Ovis aries: one gene and its partners. The protein of the gene in region 4 purifies or fractionates together with the protein of the main gene of each other region. This does not show direct contact. Links are inferred from orthologs where the notes say so. Each region holds a gene or a part of one and is shown on either strand. Other genes may lie near its edges.

Region 1 (3,000 bases), on a different chromosome or scaffold from region 4:
TGCAGGCAGATTCTTTACCATCTGATCCACCAGGGAAGCCCCAGTGGTAGAGAATCCACCTGCCAATGCAGGAGACTTGGAAGCTCTGATCCATGAAGATCCCCCATGCCTGGGAACCACTAAGCCAAGTACCACAACTACTGAGACTGTGCTCTAGAGCCCACGCGCCCTACAGCCTGAGCTCTGCCAACAAGAGAAGGCACTGCAATAAGCCCGCTTGCTGCAACTAGACAAAAACCCTCACAGGAAGGAAGACCCAGCACAGCCAAAAACAATTAAATTATATGTGAAATATATATATCAAGTTCAGGGAGATAGGGTGGCCACCGGTGGAGACTAGCAATGAAGGGGGAGAGGGTAGGCTGATTCAGGATGGATTTCGAGGGGTGATCCAACAGGCTTTGATAACCTACTTCACCTTTATGCCCTTCCTTCTGATTACAAAGGAGGAAAACAGAAAACTAACAGGGCTATCACCATCAGAAATTTCATGTCACTTTAAAAACTTATTTTTGATTAAAAATGCCGTATAAGGTTACTGTCAAAAACTTGCAGAACAGAAAAGGGAAGTTAAAATCGAGTCATACAGTTTGTGAAAGGCCCGAGCTGTGGGAAAGAAAGAGTTAGTCGCTCAGTCGTGGCCGACTCTGTGGTTTAGTCAGTAAGTCGTGTCCAACTCTTGCGACCTCACGGACTGTAGCCCCCAGGCTCCTCTGTCCATGGGGTTCTCCAGGCAGGAATACTGGAGTGTGTTGCTATTTCCTTCTCCAGGGGATCTTCCTGACCCAGGGATCAAACCCGGATCTCTTGCATGGCAGGTAGATTCTTTACCCACTGAGCTACAAGGGAAGCCCCGAACTGAGGAAGGGAGATTCATTTCTCTGCGGCCAACGGAGATTCCCCTCGGCCGGCCGGCTCCACCAGACCTGTTTGCGCAAGCGCGCGGGGCGGGGTCGGCGCGCGGGGCGGGGTCGGCGCGCGGGGCGGGGTCGGCGCGCGGGGCGGGGTCGGCGCGCGGGGCGGGGTCGGCGCGCGGGGCGGGGTCGGCGCGCGGGGCGGGGTCGGCGCGCGGGGCGGGGTCGGCGCGCGGGGCGGGGTCGGCGCGCGGGGCGGGGTCGGCGCGCGGGGCGGGGTCGGCGCGCGGGGCGGGGGCGGCGCGCGGGGCGGGGGCGGCGCGCGGGGCGGGGGCGGCGCGCGGGGCGGGGGCGGCGCGCGGGGCGGGGGCGGCGCGCGGGGCGGGGGCGGCGCTTCAGGAAGAAGCAGCAGTTTTTAAGCTGCTCGCGTAGCGGGTGGGCGACGGAGAGTCCTGGAGCCAGTGGGTGGGGTTGGAGGCGGAGCACGGCAGCCATGCAGGAGACAGGTGGGGACGTAGGCGCAGGCATCCTGGCGGGTGGCGCCGAAAGCCAGGGCCGGCGGGGGTTCGGGGGTGGCCGGGGCAGCCCCGGCAGCGCGGGTGCTGCTTCCGCTGCAGACCACGGAGCTCCGGGTGTCGCGCCGGCCCAGCACTCTTCCCAAAAGCCGGGAAGCCGACCATGCGTATTGTATCCTACTCGAGGGGCAGTGCGGATTGGGCTGGGGGATGCCTGCGGTGGGAGGTGGGACAAACGGACCGGCGGGTCAGGGGCTGCTGGGGGGTGGAATGGCCAGGGCGCCTGGGGCGGGTAGAGAATAGAGAGCTGAAGGGAGACTGGAAGCTGGGATGGGCCTGGGTGGCGTGGGTCGGGGGGAGAAATGGGATCTCGGGGCAGTGGGGTGGCTGGGCTGGATTAGGGCTACGAGCGGCCCGGAGGGGCTGGAAGCGGTCCTGAGACAGGACCCAGAGCTCCAAATCCTTGTGGGTGGTACCTTAACCGCATCTCCATCAGCACCCTAAGCGTGCCTTTCCCGTCCGCGTTGGAGGCAGAGATTGCCCATGGGTCACTGGCCCCAGATACCGAACCTCACCGTGGGGCGGTTGGGAAGGAGCTCACAGTGAGCGGCAATGTCCTGGCTGTGTAAGTTGGAAAAGGGGCTGGTTGGAAGTGGTAGCAGGTGACCAAGCTTGTCTCTCGCCGGGGGCGCTCTGTTTGGACATACTCAAGGGCTGTGTTTATGGAGGTGACGCAGTGCCCTTGATTCAACCCATCTCCACCTTGATTCTCTTTTTCTGTCATTTTCAGCTGCTGGAGAGCTGAAGATTGCCGCCTCCTTCGAATCTCCATTGTCAACTTTCTGGACCAGCTTTCTCTGGTGATGCGAACCATGCAGCGCTTTGGGCCCCCTGTTGCTCGCTAAGCCAGGGCTGGGGAAAGGGGGGTCTGATCTGGTGGCCCTTCCTAGACAGTGCATCCTTCCTAGGGCAGTGATTCCTGCACTAGTTGCCTATTATGGGGGCCTCATCTTTTGGCTATAATGGCCCTTGGGTGCTCAAGGTCCACTTGCATTGTTTGGTACTTAAATGTTTCTTAACTACTGAAAATAAAATTGACCTATGATGAGTTTATTTTCAACTGTAGCACCTTCAAAATTCTTGCATTTGTTCTTAGATGGGAGGGTTCTGATTCAGATAGTCAAGTAGTACAGTGTAAGTGAAGATAATCTAAGAAATGGAGGAGGATAGGTCCTGTCTCTCATTCAGTATTAGCTACTATCAATATTTTGGAGTATTTTTGAGTTTTATAGTTACATAGTAAATGTGTAATAATAATATTTGATATTTTGCAAGTTTAGCATTTTTCCTGGTATTTCTCATCTAACATGAACTTTTTTCTAAAAATTCTTCAAAATCATTATTGATTGTTTAAACTATTTTCAGTCTTTGCCATATTATAGGTAATGATTCCATGGAACACTTGTATATAGATCTTTGCATGAATGATTAAGATTACAAGAAGTAGAATTAATTAAATATTTAAAGCTCTCAATCTGAAGCATGTGAAATTACTGTCCATAAAATGCCCTCCCACCAGAATTCTGGTTTCCCCACATTAGTGTCACCATTGGGGGCTTCCCAGGTGGTGT
Region 2 (3,513 bases), on a different chromosome or scaffold from region 4:
ATTTTAAAATTGTTACACTGCTAATTGAGTTAGATAAATGGGCTTCTTCCCTGCTGATATTTATGAATTTATAACATGCAGGAATTTTCTGTTTAGTTTTTGGACCAGGAAAGAATTGTAGCTGCTTCATCGACAGGATGTGTGACAATTTTCCTCCACCATCCAAATAACCAGGTAAAGAATTTTTGTTTGAAAACTCAGTTTGCATTTTAATTATTTTTAGGAAGGCTTAAAGAAGGCTATACTTAATAATGACAAATTATAAAGTTTTATTGTCTCAAAAACTATAAAAAGGAGGGGAAAATGTCATTGCATTACCCATCTTTTAGTTGACTAATTCTAGAACCATTTCTGTGTGAACTTTCATTGAAATTGGGTAACTCTTCAATTTTCTTAGGTTCCATGTAACAGTATGGTATTCTGGCAAGTGATTTTCCTGTAACTTTCTGTTAAGATCCTCCTCTGGTTTTCTGAAGAGAGAAAGAGCACTTTCTAGCTCAGACATCATGAGAGGGAGCAGGAACAGCTACTCTACTTCTGTGAACAGAACCGAGGTTGTAATTAGAAGGAAAGATACACTATATGAAGGCTTGATACTTTTTCTATGCTTTTCTTATATGTCAAAGGCTAAGAGTGCTGACTTTCAGAGCATAGTTTAAGGGCAGTCCTTTAAAATAGGCCCACTTGAAGTTAACAGTTTTAAGTTGCTGGAAGAGAATGCTTATTTAGATTTGGATATTGATAAAGGTCATCTTACTAATAGACATGCCTAGTAAGTATAAGACCCAGATCTAGTTAAATGTTATTCTTACAGAATCATCTGGAAAGCCCTGCAGAGATTTATCTCTTCAATGTAGATCAGTTCCCTTAAGAATTTAGAGTTGTCTTTGAACACATAATTACCTGATGCTTAAAAACTGTTTCTTTAGTTTGAGATAAGTTTGGAATATTATTAAACAGGGTTTCTTTGGAATCTGATCTGGTGAATACAGAGCTTTAATGGAAGTATTTCCTAGACCTTAATACTTTGAAATACAAAGCGAAAAGAGTACTATTTTTCTAGAAAGGTATGAAACACAGTTTTAAAATAATAGTGTAGTTAGGGAAAGTGCTAATTATTTGGAGCTTTGCTTTAATTAATCATAGCCTCATTTCTGACACCTAGACTCTGTCAGTCAGCCAGCAGTGGACAGCAGCTCACTACCACACGGGTCCAGGCAGTCCTTCCTGTAGCAATGCACCATGCACAGGTGTTGTGTGCAACAACCCAGAAATTGTCACAGTTGGAGAAGATGGTCGGATAAATCTCTTCAGAGCTGATCACAAGGAAGCTGTAAGAACTATAGGTAAGAAAAATCATCTTTCTTTGGTCTATCTTATAGTAATTCAGCACCTCCTGTGTGCAGTGCCAGGGGTTAAATGTTTGAGGGATTTAGAAATATACAAAGCAGGATCCCTTTATCAAGATAGTATGTTGATAAGGCCTGTATGAAGGACTGACTAGAAGAAAGAGAAATTTGTGGGGAGGATGGTTGGAAGGAATTACTGGATAAAGAATTGAGGGGCAGGGCAATTCATTTAATCTAGATTCTAGACCATAAATAATACTGAGAAGTGGCACGCCAGATAAAGGGAATAGCATAGAGGCGGGGTAAGGCCAGTCAGAGAATGACAGAAAGTGTAGTTTGACCTGACTTTAGATATTTGTGTAGGAGAATTGAGAGATGAAACAAGAAAGGTAGATTGCAGTCAGGTTGTGAAAGATAATACCTTTTTTTAGGTAGACAGCTAAGGAGACATTGAAAGTTTTTGAGCAAAGGGGTAATGTACCCACATCGTGTTTTAGAAGGATTATTTAGTGCAGTGGTAGTGGTTTAGTTGCTAAATCATGTCTGACTAGTGTAGTAGTTCTCAACCATATTTTGCACAGACTTGCCCGAGGAGATTTTTAACAGCCCATCACCCTAGACCTCTTGAATTAGAACTTCTATGGATTGAGCCCATGAATCAGTTTTTTGTATTATTATTATCATTTTTAGTTCTGAGAAATACCATTTGTTTAGCTTTGAAAGACTGCTGGCCTGGTGACAGTTTGGAGAAGGGTCACAAAATAAAAGTCTTTAAGTATATACTAAATAAAGATGTATAAGCTTAGACACACTAGAAAAAGCAGAAGGACCATTAAGGCAAACAGGAAGAACTTCATGGCAGAAAAGAGAGCTGATAAGGATAAAGATGAATCAATTTGAGATGAGTCAGCAGAATAATACAGGGTCAGATTGAGCTCTGTAGGAAGCTGTGGTGTTTGGCCCAACAGAATGGAGGTTCTGGATGAAGCACTTGAGTTCAGTTGCTCTTTGCGACCCCATGGACTGCAGCCCTGTCCATCACCAACTCCTGGAGCTTGCTCAAGCTCATATCCATTGAGTCAGGGATGCCATCCAACCATCTCATCCTCTGTCGTCCCCTTCTCCTGCCTTCAATCTTTGCCAGCATCAGAGTCTTTTCCAGTGAGTCAGTTCTTCACATCAGGTGGCCAAAGGATTGGAGTTTCAGCTTGAGCATCAGTCCTTCTAAAGAATATTCAGGACTGATCTGCTTTAGGATGGACTGGTTTGATCTCCTTGCAGTCCAAGGGACTCTCAAGAGTGTTCTCCAACACCACAATTCAAAACCATCAATTCTTTGGCACTAAGCTTTCTTTAAAGTCCAACTTTGACATCCATACATGACTAGTGGAAAAACCGTATCTTTGACTGGATGGACCTTTGCTAGCAAATAATGTCTGCTTTTTAACATGATGTCTAGGTTGTCTAGGGTGAAGCAGTGGTGGGAGATAAAATTGGATTATAAAGAAACTTGAACAGCTGTCTCAGAAATGTAGTACTCTTAAGTGGAAATAGAGAAATATATGAAAACTTAGTCCTCTAGTTGGAAAACAGTTCAGATGTCCTGTGAGTAATATAATTTTTCTATCAAAGGAGAGTCCATTTTAACATATGTTCCTATATTTTTCCATAGAAATAAAATTGTGACTTATTTAAAGTTTCACTTGTAATTTTTCAGTCAACAGAGGGAACACTGTTTAAGGTATTCATGGAAAAGTGGTGCCCTGTTAACATACACTGCAGTTTTCTTAATTTACAGACAATGCAGATAGCAGTACACTCCATGCTGTAACCTTCCTTCGAACTCCTGAGATTCTTACAGTAAATTCAATTGGACAGTTAAAAATATGGGATTTTAGACAACAAGGAAATGAGCCCACGCAGATATTATCACTGTAAGTTTTGATCTGTAATTTCAGTAGTATAAAGCAAATTTGTTTATTTGTAGCAACTAACTTTATAAGCCATATTGTATTTCAATTGCATGTTAAGAGTAATTTCTGATTAACTTTGATAAAGCAAATACAGTTGACCCTTGAACAATATAAGCATTAGAGTCACTGACCCTCTATACACTCGAAAATCCATGTATACTTTATAGTTGGCACTCTACCAGGAATCCTCT
Region 3 (4,225 bases), on a different chromosome or scaffold from region 4:
TCCTTACTATTTTTTCCTTCTCTAAGCTGGAAATTCCTCATCTCGATAGCCACGTATAAAGGTCATCCAATGTTCCAGTGTATCACTTTTTAGCTTCAGATGAGCCCAGTTTTCCTACCACTCAGGCAGAAAGTGAAAGTTGCTAGCACAGTGCCTCAGAAATTAAGAAGGACTGGTGGAACTCTTCTGCTGTAGTCCTGAATGGCTTCTGTCAAAATGGCCAAGTTCATGAAACCTGGGAGGTGGTGATGCCCCTGGCCAGTCATCATGAACACCTATGATCTTGCTACCTTGCTAGCAAGGTACAAAGTGAAAGCTACCATGGGCAAGAAGAAAACTGCCAGGAGGTCAGAGAGCAAGTCTTTTGTGAAAGTTTGTAACTTGAAGTATACCACTTCAAGCCCACAAGGTACTCTGTAGGTATCCCCTTGGAAAAAACTGTGGCCAAGGAGAATGTCTTCAGATACCCTGCTCTTAAATGTGCATCCCAACAAGAGGTCAAGGTCAAGTTTGAGGAAAGATACAAAACCAGCAAGAACAGATGGTTCTTCTAGAAGCTGTGGTTTTAGATCTGTTTTGTTTCAGTTATTAAAAATACCCAAAAATCTGAGGGGAAAAAAAAAAAAAGAACCGTGAAGAATTCTAAATACCTGTGTATTTCCTCCACTGACATACAGCACAGTTGGGTTGGTGGCTCCAGTGATGAGGCGGCCCATCTCAATGTGACCTATACAGTGGTTAACACCCAGCAATGGCTTATTCCATAACTGGGCCACAGTACGGGCCACAACAGCCACAGAAACCAGTGGGGCACCCATGCCAGGACCTATGGGGACAGAATAGGGCTTAGAATCCTATAGAGATTGGGAAAAACAGAGTTGAGGGAAGCGGGGGATGTGAAGGTACAGCGGATGTAGTGGTGGTTTCAAAGGTGAGGTGCAGACTATTTTGACCTAGCTGGGTTCCAGGTATATTCTTCCACTGCTGTGCACACTTCTAGCTATACCTTTGGTGTATGCGATGCAATCAATATCCTCAGAGGTTAATCCAGCCTCTGTTAGTGCCTCCTGCAGCAGGTCCAGGATAACAGCTCGGTGGTGCCTAGCAGTATCACCTGGAAGGAATCCTAGGAGACGGACACAAGTCAGAGATCCTAAGAATTTTCCTACAGAAAGGCACCTAGAAGTCAAAACAGACATTTCAGTAGGGTAGGAAGAGTCCCCTCCCTTTTCCTCAAACATCCTGTCTTCAGATATAGTCTTTTCAGCCTGTTCAGCTAAGCTAAACAGCTCTGAGCAATGCCCTTCTTCATAACTAACTCCTATTCAGGACTCAATGATACCTATCTCATACTTTTTGGTGATGCCCTGTGACTCTACAAACACTGTGCATGGTAACATCATTTATATTAACATACTATATGTAACATGTAACAATTACAGCATTATAGTTAATCGGTACTTTTCCCAGCTTAACCATGAGCATCTCAAAGCACTGCCTGTTTTATCTTCACATTCTTGGTGCCAATGAAGGCAATGGCACCCCACTGCAGTACTCTTGCCTGGAAAATCCTCCGGACGGAGGAGCCTGGTAGGCTGCAGTCCATGGGGTCACTAAGAGTCGGATACGACTGAGCGACTTCACTTTCGCTTTTCACTTTCATGCATTGGAGAAGGAAATGGCAACCCACTCCAGTGTTCTTGCCTGCAGAATCCCAGGGACGGGGGGGTGGGCTGCCGTCTATGGGGTCACGCAGAGTCGGACACGACTGAAGCGACTTTGCAGCTTGGTGCCAAATGCCGAGAAGCTTGAGTGCTAAACATATATATCCATTTCTAACGAGTAACCTGTTACAACATCACCTGTTCAGGGAGGCTTTTCAGGTATACACAAGCCTGCTGCCCTCTCCTATGGAAGGAGGTGTTTGGGGGAAAGGTAGCAAAGACAACAGAGCTTAGAAATAACATTTACGGAAAGTTGTCAGTGTATCCGATACTTTAACTCTCCAGACCAAATGACGCAGGTAATATCATTCCCATTTTAAGAACAAAGTACAGAAGTCCAAAAACAACTACCGAATATTCTAAGGGCAGCCGATAATTAGCACATAAAAGGTGGTCAGTATAGGCTGAACAACTCAGAAGATCCAGTTTCAAGTGCCTGTAACTCTTCTACCCATCAGCTTCGGGATAATGTGTGTGCGTGCTTAGTCTTGTCCAACTCATGGACTGTAATCCATTAGACTCCTCCGTCAATAGGATTCTCCAGGCAAGAATACTGGGGTGGGTTGCCATTCCGTTCCCCAGAGGATCTCGACCCACGGATCGAACTCAAGTCTCCTGTACTGCAGGCAGATTCTTTACCACTGAGCCAACTGGGAAGCCCTTTTACCGTTACATAATCTCAGAAACTAGGATCAAAAATTATGAGACACAATGCGCACTCTTCACCAACGTTTAGAAAGACGGCAGGGGATGCTGTGCGGAAAATTGCGCCACGAGTTACAAATCCGCAAATCCTCACCTGTGCCGGGAGGCGTGACGTAAGTCCGCCGCGGATTCGCCAGTACTTTGCCATCCCGTACCACTCCCACGCCAATCTTGTTGGCGCTGCCTTCCAAACCCAGCACCGCCGGCATGGCTCCGAGCTAGCACTGGAGCCAAGGAGCCCTCACCAGTCCGCGCTGGGACGCAGACTCCGGGTCGCAGAGTAGGAGGATGAGCCAGTGGCTGCTAAGCAGCCGCGCCAACCAGAACAACAACTACCAAAATATTCCCGTACGTAGCGCGCCAGCGCCGGTCCCAATCTCTGTCGTTACGACGACCCATCAAGACCCCTTCGAGGGCCTGTTCGCTTAACTGCCGGGAACGCTGAGCCGGCGTCTGCTCCTTAAATTCCTATCCGTTCCTCTGCTTCTCTCCGATAGTCCAGCCCAGCCTTTTCCACTGATTTTGTTCTCTCTTACACAGCTTTGGGATCTCTAGTCAGGGTGGCAGAAAGAGTTGTGAATCCGGCATATTGATAAACAGTCCAAGAATGGAGGGTGGGGCCTTCAGTGTCCCGGAGTCCAGAAGGGCGGGAAGCTTTTGAGTCACGTGGTACAACTAGACCAATGACCCGTATTCCTCCACCCCTGGATGAGCATCTCAAATCACGTGACCACGCCAGTTACCCACGTGGGGCACGGCGTGCTCCATTCTTTGTGCTGGGTTAAGGAGGAGGCAGACAGGGGCCGAAGCAGGTCAGCTGAAGGGTTTGTGTTGTTTTGCCCATCTTAGCAGCTTCTCTGGACGTCTGATTCGCAAGGCTAGGTCGGGACTCTCAATTAAGTCCCTCATTTGGCCGGAGGGCGGATCTCGCGAGAAGTGTATAAGACACGATGAAATGATCTAGTCTGAGGGGTGAGGGGCTGAAAGGCTGATGGTGCACGGAGGCGGGGAAAGAATTCAGAGATAATACAGTTTCAAAGGCGGTACTTGGTACGTGGGCGTTGAGGGTGGAGTCTTCTGCTCTAGCTGGTTTCACGACTTCTTTGCACTTGTAGGCAACGCGATCAAAATACTGCTTCAGTGGGCGAAGTGGAACTGGTGCAGAAGGGCCTACATTACAGTGATGCCGAAACGTGGGAAAAAGGGAGCGGTGGTCGAAGACGCGGAAGAGCCCAAGACTGGTAAGAGAATGAAATGGGCCCCTCTCCCCAGAGGCGGCGATGGGGATGTCTATAATTACCTAGTTGAACGGGAAGTACGGACCGTTGAACGGAAAGTCCAGACCGACACCGACAGTATTCTCATTTATGAAGAAGTCGCGGCAGCTGCAGGCTCTTAGTGGGTCTATAGTTTACTCTGGATCAAAGTTGGATACCGCCAACTTATATCCCATTATGTATTACTTATTTTATAGAGCCAGAGGCGAAGAAGAGTAAGGCAGGAGCGAAAAAGAACGAAAAAGAGGCAGTAGGAGAGGGCGCAGTTCTGTATGAAGACCCCCCAGATCAGAAAACCTCACCCAGTGGCAAATCAGCCACACTCAAGATCTGCTCGTGGAATGTGGATGGGCTTCGAGCCTGGATTAAGAAGAAAGGTTTAGATGTGAGTGGAATTAAGGGGGTGCAGAGGCTGATCTTAGGGTTTAATCATCTTTTTCCATCTTAGTCCCTAGCACGATAGTTTTCTTGTGGGAAAGGTACTAGGTTTTCACCCGAAAAACCTTGTTATTTTTCAAA
Region 4 (4,126 bases):
GGAAGATTTTTCAGTCTCCAGAGTGGATTCAATATAATCTCGAACAGTCACTGAGCCTTCGATTTCTTCCATAAATAAGCAGTTGGAAGCATAGTCCACAAAAAAGACAACTGGGGCACATATTCCTGTAACCAAGATATAAGGGGTCATTGAATTAGATACCTTTTTTTTCTTAATAGTAAGCTTAATTTTCTAGCTCAGTCAGAAAAATTTTCCAGTGTGTATCTGCATATTTTGGGAAAAAGATTTAGGAATGCTGCAGAATGGTACAGCTTTTCTTCTCTGGAAGTTTCTCCTGCCAGACTATGCTTAGACCACCACAGCAAGGTCAGCACAGCCAAAGCTCCCTCCTCCCTTCTACCCACTGTGATTGAACTTCATTTGTCATATTTGGGCTTCCCTGGTAGCTCAGCTGATAAAGAATCCACCTGCAATGCAGGACACCCCAGTTCAATTCCTGGGTCCAGAGGAGAAGGGATAGGCTACCCACTCAAGTGTTCTTGGGTTTCCCTGGTGACTCAGCTGGTAACAAACCCGCTGGCAACATGGGAGACCTGGTTTTGATCCCTGGGCTGGGAAGATCCCTTGGAGAAGGGAACAGGCTACCCACTCCAGTATTTTGGCCTGAAGAATTCCATGGACTACAGTTCATGGGGTCGCAAAGAGTCAGACACAATTGAGCGACTTTCACTTTCCCTGTCATACTTCTTCCCTAAAATACAAATCAAAGTAAACAGTCAGAAGGGTAAGCACCATTAGTTATATGTTCAAACATATGAAAGCAGTTTCCTGACAGGGACAGAAGCAGGAGAGCAAGCAGCATGCTGGCTTAGAGATGCACCTTTACAGGGAGGAAAGAGAGTGAAGTTGCTCAGTCGTGTCCAACTCTTTGTGACCCCATGGACTGTAGCCTACCAGGCTTCTCCGTCCATGGGATTCTCCAGGCAAGAATACTGGAGTGGGTTACCATTTCCTTCTCCAGGGGATCTTCGCGACCCAGGGATCGAACCAGGGACTCCCTCCTTGGAGGCAGACGCTTTAACCTCTGAGCCACCAGGAATACAGAGAGGAAGGACAAGTTCAAATCCCAGCTTCCTTCCTTTAACTGTGTATCTTTAAAGTCACATGTATTTCTCTAAGCCTCCATTTCTGCTTCTATAACATGAGATCAGTACTACCAATAATCCAATAACTTCACTGAATTTGAAGATTCAATGACTCTTTACTGAATGTCAATCACACTCAAGACACTTCAAGATACTAGAGACAAATGTGTAGAAATACAGCAGGAAACAAAACAACCGGGATCCCTGATTAAGAGAACTCAGCTGCTGGAAAGGGTGAAAATAGGAAATACGAATGAATGTGTAACTTTGCAAATCCAAGCAAGGGCAGAGACAGTGTGCTTGTTGGCACCTGAATTTCTTCCAGATCTCCCAGCACCTAACAATGTCTTGGTGTACAGTAGATGCCTAAAAAATTACCAATGAAAGAAACAAAGGTGAAAGTGTAAAAGTGAAATGCCAGTGTTTCTGAGTCAAAGGGATAGGGGGCGAAAGCCTTACTAACTGTGTAACTTTGAGGAAGTTACTTCCCCCCTCTGAACTTTGTTTCTCAACAGAGGCAAAGGTTTACCGTCATGGTGCAAAATAGTGTTTAGTCAAAGCTATGGTTTTTCCAGTAGTCGTGTACGGATGTGAGAGCTGGACTATAAAGAAAGCTAAGCGCCAAAGAATTGATGCTTTTGAACTGTGGTGTTGGAGAAGACTCTTGGATCCGGAGATCCAACCAGTCCATCTTAAAGGAAATCAGTCCTGAATATTCACTGGAAGGACTGATGCTGAAGCTGAAACTCCAACACTTTGGCCACCTGATGTGAAGAACTGACTCATTTGAAGACGCTGATACTGGGAAAGACTGAAGGCAGGAGGAGAAGGGGACAACAGAGAAAGAGGTGGTTGGAAGGCATCACGGATTCGATGGACATGAGTTTGAGCAAGCTCCGGGAGTTGGTGATGGACAGGGAAGCCTGGCGTGCTGCAGTCCATGGAGTCGCAGAGACAGGACTGAACTGAACTAGACTGTGTGAACCCAGAGACCCTGGCTCCTGGGCAAGTACTTGTAACTACATCTGCTTCTTGAAAGTAACTAACAGCGATCGAAAGTTGGGATTGTACAGATGGGGAAACTGAGGCTCGGGGCAGTTAAAAGACACGTTCAACGTTGAGTAAAGGTGGCAGAGTCGGAACTGAACCAGGCGCCAAGAGCTCCGGGACAAATGCTCGTCGCTACAACGTCAAGTGGCTTCTTAAGAGTTAATGAAAGGAAAAGGATGAAAGGATGACATTTCTTAATGGAAAGCCGTGAAGAAGGTACAAACGGAGAAACTGAGTCAAATCTCGCTCGCCCCCAACCCCGCAGCGCAGGGGAGCCCCTCACCTGCGTCGCCCGAGCCCCGGAGCCTCGGGGGTCCCCCGCGTCCCCAAGCTGGGCCGTCTTACCTGCGCGGCGACAGCGGAGCAACGCCCGGGCCTCCTGCACCGTCCGCCGCCGGCTGAGCCGCGCTTCCAGCGTCGGGTGCCGGTAGCCTTTGGGGAAGCGGTGCTTCACCACGGCCGCGCGACCCTGAAAGCGGCCGCGGAACACGCGCGCCTCGGCGCCCTGCTTCACCAGCTCCAGGCCGCTCAGGAAGCGGCTGCTCCGCTCCCGGGCTGCGGCCAGCGCTTCGGCCGCGGGCGCCAGCTCCTCGTTCAGCTTAGCGGCAGCAGCGCCGGCCGCCGCCATGTTCGCGTTTCCGCGTAGCCGCTCGGAGCCCTTCGGCCGCCTCCGGAAACTGTCGGGGCTGCTTCGGCTCGCTCCGAAAGTACTCGGACCTCCTCGGCCTCTCTAATGCCGACCCTTTTGCCTCGTGGAAGTGGTTTCTCCTCTCTTCGGCTCTTTTCTAAGCCTCCTGGTCCCGCCACTCGGCTCCTCGGCTATTTCCGTAAACCCTCGGCTGCTCTCGGTGAGCTCTTTCCACTCCTCGGCTCTTTCCGGAAACCCTTCGTGACTCTTGCGGTTGGCTTTGGTGGCGCTGTCTCTCAGCTCTTCGGCTATTTCCGGAAAGCTTCGGCGTCTCCCTGAAAAAACGTCTCTTGGAATCTGCTCTCAGGAATCTGTCTGGATCCTGGGAAGTTGCACTTCACAGTCCCTGCGTTTCATTCATACACAGGGAAGGTAACCTTTTCAAACATCAGATCCTTTGTTTTGTACTAATGTGGTTTCCAGCACCCTTCATCAGTTCAGCCTACTTGAAGCCCCTATAGAACCAATTCTATTTGGTTTGGAAAACCCAATTTCCCAAGTTCGTAGTTTCATTATCATAATTCTTAGTGTCCATATGGTCATCTCCATGGTTACCAAATCTGTCTGAACTGCTCTGTATGGTTGTTAGCATAACTGAGGCCATCTTGGGTCTGTACAGTTCCTTTTGTCCTGCTCACCCTACCTATGGCTGTTCTGTGTAGTAAATAAATATCTTCTCTGTCATCAGTGATTTTTAGGTCCAGGTGGCCTCTATGCTTTGTTAGCCTCCAAACGATGAAGACCTTTGCTGACGTACTCTTGGTTCCTGCAAAAACTAGTTACCCATTCATAACTTGACTTAGGAATGCACTTCCTGTTTCCAAGGATGTACCCCTAAACCCTAGGTTAACTATAAAATTGTCCCAATGGCCTCTTGAAGGTTCAAAGTGCAGCTGCAAATGCTTCTGGATCTCTGTCCACTTGAATCTACCCTGTAAGTTATCTTATAATAAACTTTTCTGTTGATTATATGGAGCTGCCTGCCTTGTTTTCCATTCTCAAGATACCTTTTCAGTTTGGTGGGCACTTTTTGTTTCCTCCAATTTCCAACACCCTCTTTTGGAAAAATCCATTGTGCAAACATATTTAAAAGTCCCAGGCTTGCTATAGTCAGACTGGTTCTGACTTTTACCATAGGAAATCTAGTTTAAAATCTTTCAGTGAAAAACAAACAAACAAACAAAAAAATAAAATAAAATCTTTCAGTGGCTCCCTGTTGTGCTTCAGACAAAGACCCATGAGGTCCTGCATGGGGCCCTATGTCCCTCTTGCAGATTCATCT
Region 5 (4,123 bases), on a different chromosome or scaffold from region 4:
CGACCAAAGGTTTTAAAATATCAGCCAACATTAAATACCTCTGAAGCCAGGTGTATTAAAAAAAAAAAAATCTAACCACTTTGCAGTGTAAACTCAACTGGTCATTGATAACAACTGGTATTGTGATCTCAAGCAACACCACGTAAAGACCCCATGTCTCTCTCCCCATCCTGCAATGTTCCACTCCACCTGCCTGGAAGATAACCTTCTTCCTATCAAGTACCATCTCTCATTAGTTTTCTTCTACCACCTTTCTCCATTTTTGAACCTAGAAACATAGAATGAGTCACCAAACACTACGTCACACCCCCTCCAGTCCTTGTTCCCACCATCTTCCGAATGCCATCTCTCCTCCCCTCCTTTCCTTTGCCAGTGCCACCAGCTGTTCGGGTTCCGGTCTATGCCCCTGGAGGGCCGACTGCAGAGAGACGTGGTACTTGCTTCCTCTCGCCAAAAAAAAAAACCAGCTAGCACCTGTCAAACTAAACTGCAGAGGAACCAGCTGTCCAGGAGTCCAGCCTACGCGGAGAGATTTTCAAACCCAGAGCTCTCTCCTTTAATTATTTGACTCTTCCGTTTAGTACCCAGCAAATACTCTGAGGATGGGAAAAGTATGGACAAAGATACTCAGGATGTGAAAGGTCACGGGGTTGGTTTGGTGAAAAGCGGCCGGGGCACAGAGAAGAGACGAGGAAGGAAGGAAAGAGCAGCTGCTCTGGGGCCAAAACCGTAGAAACGTCGGGGGCCTGACAGAGGAAAATCGAGAAAGGAGGGGCGTCCTGCTGGCCACAGGTTAGAAGGGGCTCAGAAGACTAAGTGTAAAAGGGCACCTGGGCCTGGGATGGGGAAGCCTACGACCAACAGCTGCGCTGGACCACCACAGGGGGCCGGCCGCGGCCGGCGGGAAGAGAGAGGGTAAGGCGGTGGGGAAAGGGAGGTTCAGCGGAGGCGAGGGCCGAGCCGCGCGCCCACCTGCGAGTAGGAGCACTTCTCCGAGTCACTGCCGCCCAGGACGGCGCAAGCCTCATTCTCCAGCTCCTCGTCCTCCTCCAGTACATCGACCAACGATACCACGGGCTCCAACTCCGACTGTCGCCCAGCTGGCTCCTCAGCTCCAGCCATCCTCAACTGTCACCAGGACCGCCGACCGGCCCCGGCGGAGGCGGGAAAAGCGTCCGCGAGGGGCGGGGCCGGAGGAGGCGGGGCCTCGGTGCCAGACACCAATCCCAAAGACAGGGAGCGAAGGAAGGGGGAGGAGCGACTTCCGACAAACGGAAGTCAGGCCTCTCCCTTCTCCGCGCCTGCGCCCGCGGCGGGCTGGTTTCCGTTTCCGGTGGCGACTCACTGTGGCGCGCTCCTGAAGCGTAGCGGTCGCTATGGAGCTGTTGGGCGAGTACGTCGGACTGGAAGGGCAGCGACAGCAGCTGCGGGTGCCTTGTGAGGCGCCGGGCGTCACCGACCCTTTCCAGAGCTTGTTGTCCGGTGTGGCTCAGATGAGGGAGCTGGTGACTGAGCTCTTCGGCTCTCAGGTACAGCCGGAAGCACAGGACCGGGGGACGGCGGCTCCCGACGAGGCCTTGGACGGTGAGCTTTGAGACGGTTCAGCGAGTGACAGGAGGGCGGGCAGGGGCGCCCGGAGAAATTTGGGCTGTACCTGGACTCGTTTAGCAGGACTGCTTTTGACGATTCTCTTTTCATTTATGTCACACAAAAAACGTACTGAACGCCTACGGCCCTGTGCCAGTCACTGGGCTGAACTCTGGAGAAAGAATGACGTGAATGCGACTCAGTTCCTGTTCTTGTGGAACTCTGTGGGAGGTTAGACAGACAAACATTCTTATTAAAGAGTAGAAGGAATGACCCTAGGCTTCTTTGTAACTATTGCAAACCTAGAGAACCCAAGAAGGCTTCAGAAAGAGCATGACTTCTAAGCTGGGCTTAGAAGGATGGAAAGGAATTTTCCCAGGCGTGAACTTACAAATATGTTTGGAAGACCGCCATCTATTACAGAATAGAAACAGGTTCTGAAGATTGGAATAGATTTCAGATGAACAAGGCTTCACTGTCAGGGACTCCTTTCATTTCCCAGTGTGGTAGGTGCAGTTTGAAAGCAGAAATGGAAATTTTAACTGTATTCTTAAGTCTTGTCTTGAATACCCTGAGCTGAAGAACCTAAGAACTAAATATTGGAATCAGGGCTTACTTCCCCTATTGTTGTTGTTGAGGTTCAGTCGCTCAGTTGTGTCCAACTCTGCAACTCCATGGACTGTAGCACACCAGGCTCCTCTGTCCTTCTCTGTCTCCCAGAGCTTGCTCAAATTCAGGTACATTTAAACTGCAGTGCCATCCAGCCATCTCATCCTTTGTCTCCCCCTTCTCCATCTGCCCTCAATCTTTCCTAGCATCAGTCTTTTCCAGTGAGTCAGCTCTTTGCCTCAGATGGCCAAATTATTGGAGCTTCAGCTTCAGCATCAGTCCACCCAATGAATATTCAGGGTTGATTTCCTTTAGGATTAACATTTCATCTCCTTGCCTTCCAAGGGACCCTCAAGAGTCTTCTCCAGTACCACAGTTCAAAAGCATCAATTCTTCAGCACTCAGCCTTCTTTATGGACCAACTCTCACATCTGTACATGACTACTGAAAAAACCATAGCTTTGACTATACAGACCTTTGTCGTCAGAGTGATGTCTCTGCTTTTAATACACTGTCTAGGTTTGTCATAGCTTTCCTTCCAAGGATCAAGTGTCTTTTAATTTCGTGGCTACAGTCACTGTCTGCAGTGATTTTGGAGCCCAAGAAAATAAAATCTGTCACTGCTTCCACTTTTTCCCCTTCTATTTGTCATGAAGTGATGGGACCGGGTGCCATCTTCTTTGTCTTTGAATGTTGAGTTTTAAGCCAGCTTCTTCACTCTCCTCTTTCAGCTTCATCAAGAGGTTCTTTAGTTGCTCTTCACTTTCTGCCATTAAGGTGGTATTATCTGTGTATCTGATGTTTTTGATACTTCTCCTGGCACTCTTGATTCCAGCTTGTGCTTCATCCAGCTTGGAATAAGCAGAGTGACAATATACAGCTTTGATGTACTCCTTTCCCAATTTTGAACAAGTTTGTTGTTTCCTGCCTGGTTCTAACTGTTGTTTCTTGACCTGCATACGGTTTGGGGATTGGAATAAAAACTGACCTTTTCCAGTCCTCTGGCCGCTGCTGAGTTTTCCAAATTTGCTGACATATCAAACAGCATCATCTTTTAAGATTCTAAATAGCTCAGCTGGAGTTCTATCACCTCCATTAGGTTTGTTCATAGTCCTAAGGTCCACTTGACTTCAGACTCCAGGATATCCAGCTCTAGGTGAGTGACCACACCATTGTGGTTATCCGTGTCATTAAGACTTCTTGTATAGTTCTTCTGTGTAGTCTTGCCACCTCTTAATTTCTTCTGCTTCTGTTAGGTCCTTACCATTTCTGTCCTTTTATCATGCCTGTCTTTGCATGAAATGTTCCCTTGGTGTCTCCAATTTTCTTGAAGAGATCTGTCTTTCCCATTCTATTATTTTCTGTTTCTTTGCATTGTTCATTAAGAAGGCCTTCTTATCTCTCCTTAATATTCTTTGGAACTCTGCATTCAGAAGGGTATATCTTTCTCTTTCTCCCTTGCTTTTCACCTCTCTTCTTTCCTCAGCTCTTTGTAAAGCCTCCTTGGACAACCAATTTACCTTCTTGCATTTCTTTTACTTTGGATTGGTTTTGGTCACTGCCTACTGCACAGTGTTACAAACCTCCATCCATAGTTCTTCAGGCACTCTGTCTGCAAATCTAATTCCCTGAATCTATTTGTCACCTCCACTGTATAATCATAAGGGATTTTATTTAGGTCATACTTGAATGGCCTAGTGATTTTCCCCTACTTTCTTCCATTTAAACATGAATTTTATAATAAGGAGTTCATGATATGAGCCACAGTCAGCTCCAGATCATGACTATGTGGAACTTCTCCATCTTAAGTTGCAAAGAACATAATCAGTCTGATTTCAGTATTGACCAGATAGTGATGTCCATGTGTAGAGGCGTCTCTTGGGTCATTGGAAAAAGGCGTTTGCTACGACCAGCGTGTTCTCTTGAC

The links.
Region 1: the proteins of TP53RK (region 4) and LAGE3 purify together in Homo sapiens (affinity purification with mass spectrometry; 5 studies listed by BioGRID and IntAct, with this or other methods). This does not show direct contact. The link is inferred for Ovis aries from reciprocal best matches to the Homo sapiens genes TP53RK and LAGE3.
Region 2: the proteins of TP53RK (region 4) and NUP43 purify together in Homo sapiens (affinity purification with mass spectrometry; 3 studies listed by BioGRID and IntAct, counting the BioPlex papers as one, with this or other methods). This does not show direct contact. The link is inferred for Ovis aries from reciprocal best matches to the Homo sapiens genes TP53RK and NUP43.
Region 3: the proteins of TP53RK (region 4) and OSGEP purify together in Homo sapiens (affinity purification with mass spectrometry; 5 studies listed by BioGRID and IntAct, counting the BioPlex papers as one, with this or other methods). This does not show direct contact. The link is inferred for Ovis aries from reciprocal best matches to the Homo sapiens genes TP53RK and OSGEP.
Region 5: the proteins of TP53RK (region 4) and GON7 purify together in Homo sapiens (affinity purification with mass spectrometry; 5 studies listed by BioGRID and IntAct, counting the BioPlex papers as one, with this or other methods). This does not show direct contact. The link is inferred for Ovis aries from reciprocal best matches to the Homo sapiens genes TP53RK and GON7.

Annotation. Positions count from the first base shown.
Region 1 is NC_056080.1:79,963,682-79,966,681, forward strand, and holds LAGE3 (EKC/KEOPS complex subunit LAGE3), read left to right. Parts: upstream 1-1,300; 5' UTR 1,301-1,347; coding exon 1,348-1,541; intron 1,542-1,865; coding exon 1,866-1,994; intron 1,995-2,159; coding exon 2,160-2,274; 3' UTR 2,275-2,494; downstream 2,495-3,000. UniProt on the Homo sapiens protein: Component of the EKC/KEOPS complex that is required for the formation of a threonylcarbamoyl group on adenosine at position 37 (t(6)A37) in tRNAs that read codons beginning with adenine.
Region 2 is NC_056061.1:74,004,746-74,008,258, reverse strand, and holds part of NUP43 (nucleoporin Nup43), read left to right. Parts: intron 1-96; coding exon 97-174; intron 175-1,165; coding exon 1,166-1,346; intron 1,347-3,147; coding exon 3,148-3,283; intron 3,284-3,513. UniProt on the Homo sapiens protein: Component of the Nup107-160 subcomplex of the nuclear pore complex (NPC). The Nup107-160 subcomplex is required for the assembly of a functional NPC.
Region 3 is NC_056060.1:24,949,596-24,953,820, reverse strand, and holds the start of OSGEP (tRNA N6-adenosine threonylcarbamoyltransferase), read right to left. Parts: upstream 2,814-4,225; 5' UTR 2,639-2,813; coding exon 2,524-2,638; intron 1,127-2,523; coding exon 1,007-1,126; intron 827-1,006; coding exon 651-826; intron 1-650. Other genes in the region: APEX1 (DNA-(apurinic or apyrimidinic site) endonuclease), read left to right, coding at 3,613-3,670, 3,904-4,091. UniProt on the Homo sapiens protein: Component of the EKC/KEOPS complex that is required for the formation of a threonylcarbamoyl group on adenosine at position 37 (t(6)A37) in tRNAs that read codons beginning with adenine.
Region 4 is NC_056066.1:75,355,046-75,359,171, forward strand, and holds the start of TP53RK (EKC/KEOPS complex subunit TP53RK), read right to left. Parts: upstream 2,805-4,126; 5' UTR 2,785-2,804; coding exon 2,502-2,784; intron 126-2,501; coding exon 1-125.
Region 5 is NC_056071.1:55,648,938-55,653,060, reverse strand, and holds the start of GON7 (EKC/KEOPS complex subunit GON7), read left to right. Parts: upstream 1-1,319; 5' UTR 1,320-1,376; coding exon 1,377-1,584; intron 1,585-4,123. Other genes in the region: putative E3 ubiquitin-protein ligase UBR7, read right to left, coding at 973-1,122. UniProt on the Homo sapiens protein: Component of the EKC/KEOPS complex that is required for the formation of a threonylcarbamoyl group on adenosine at position 37 (t(6)A37) in tRNAs that read codons beginning with adenine.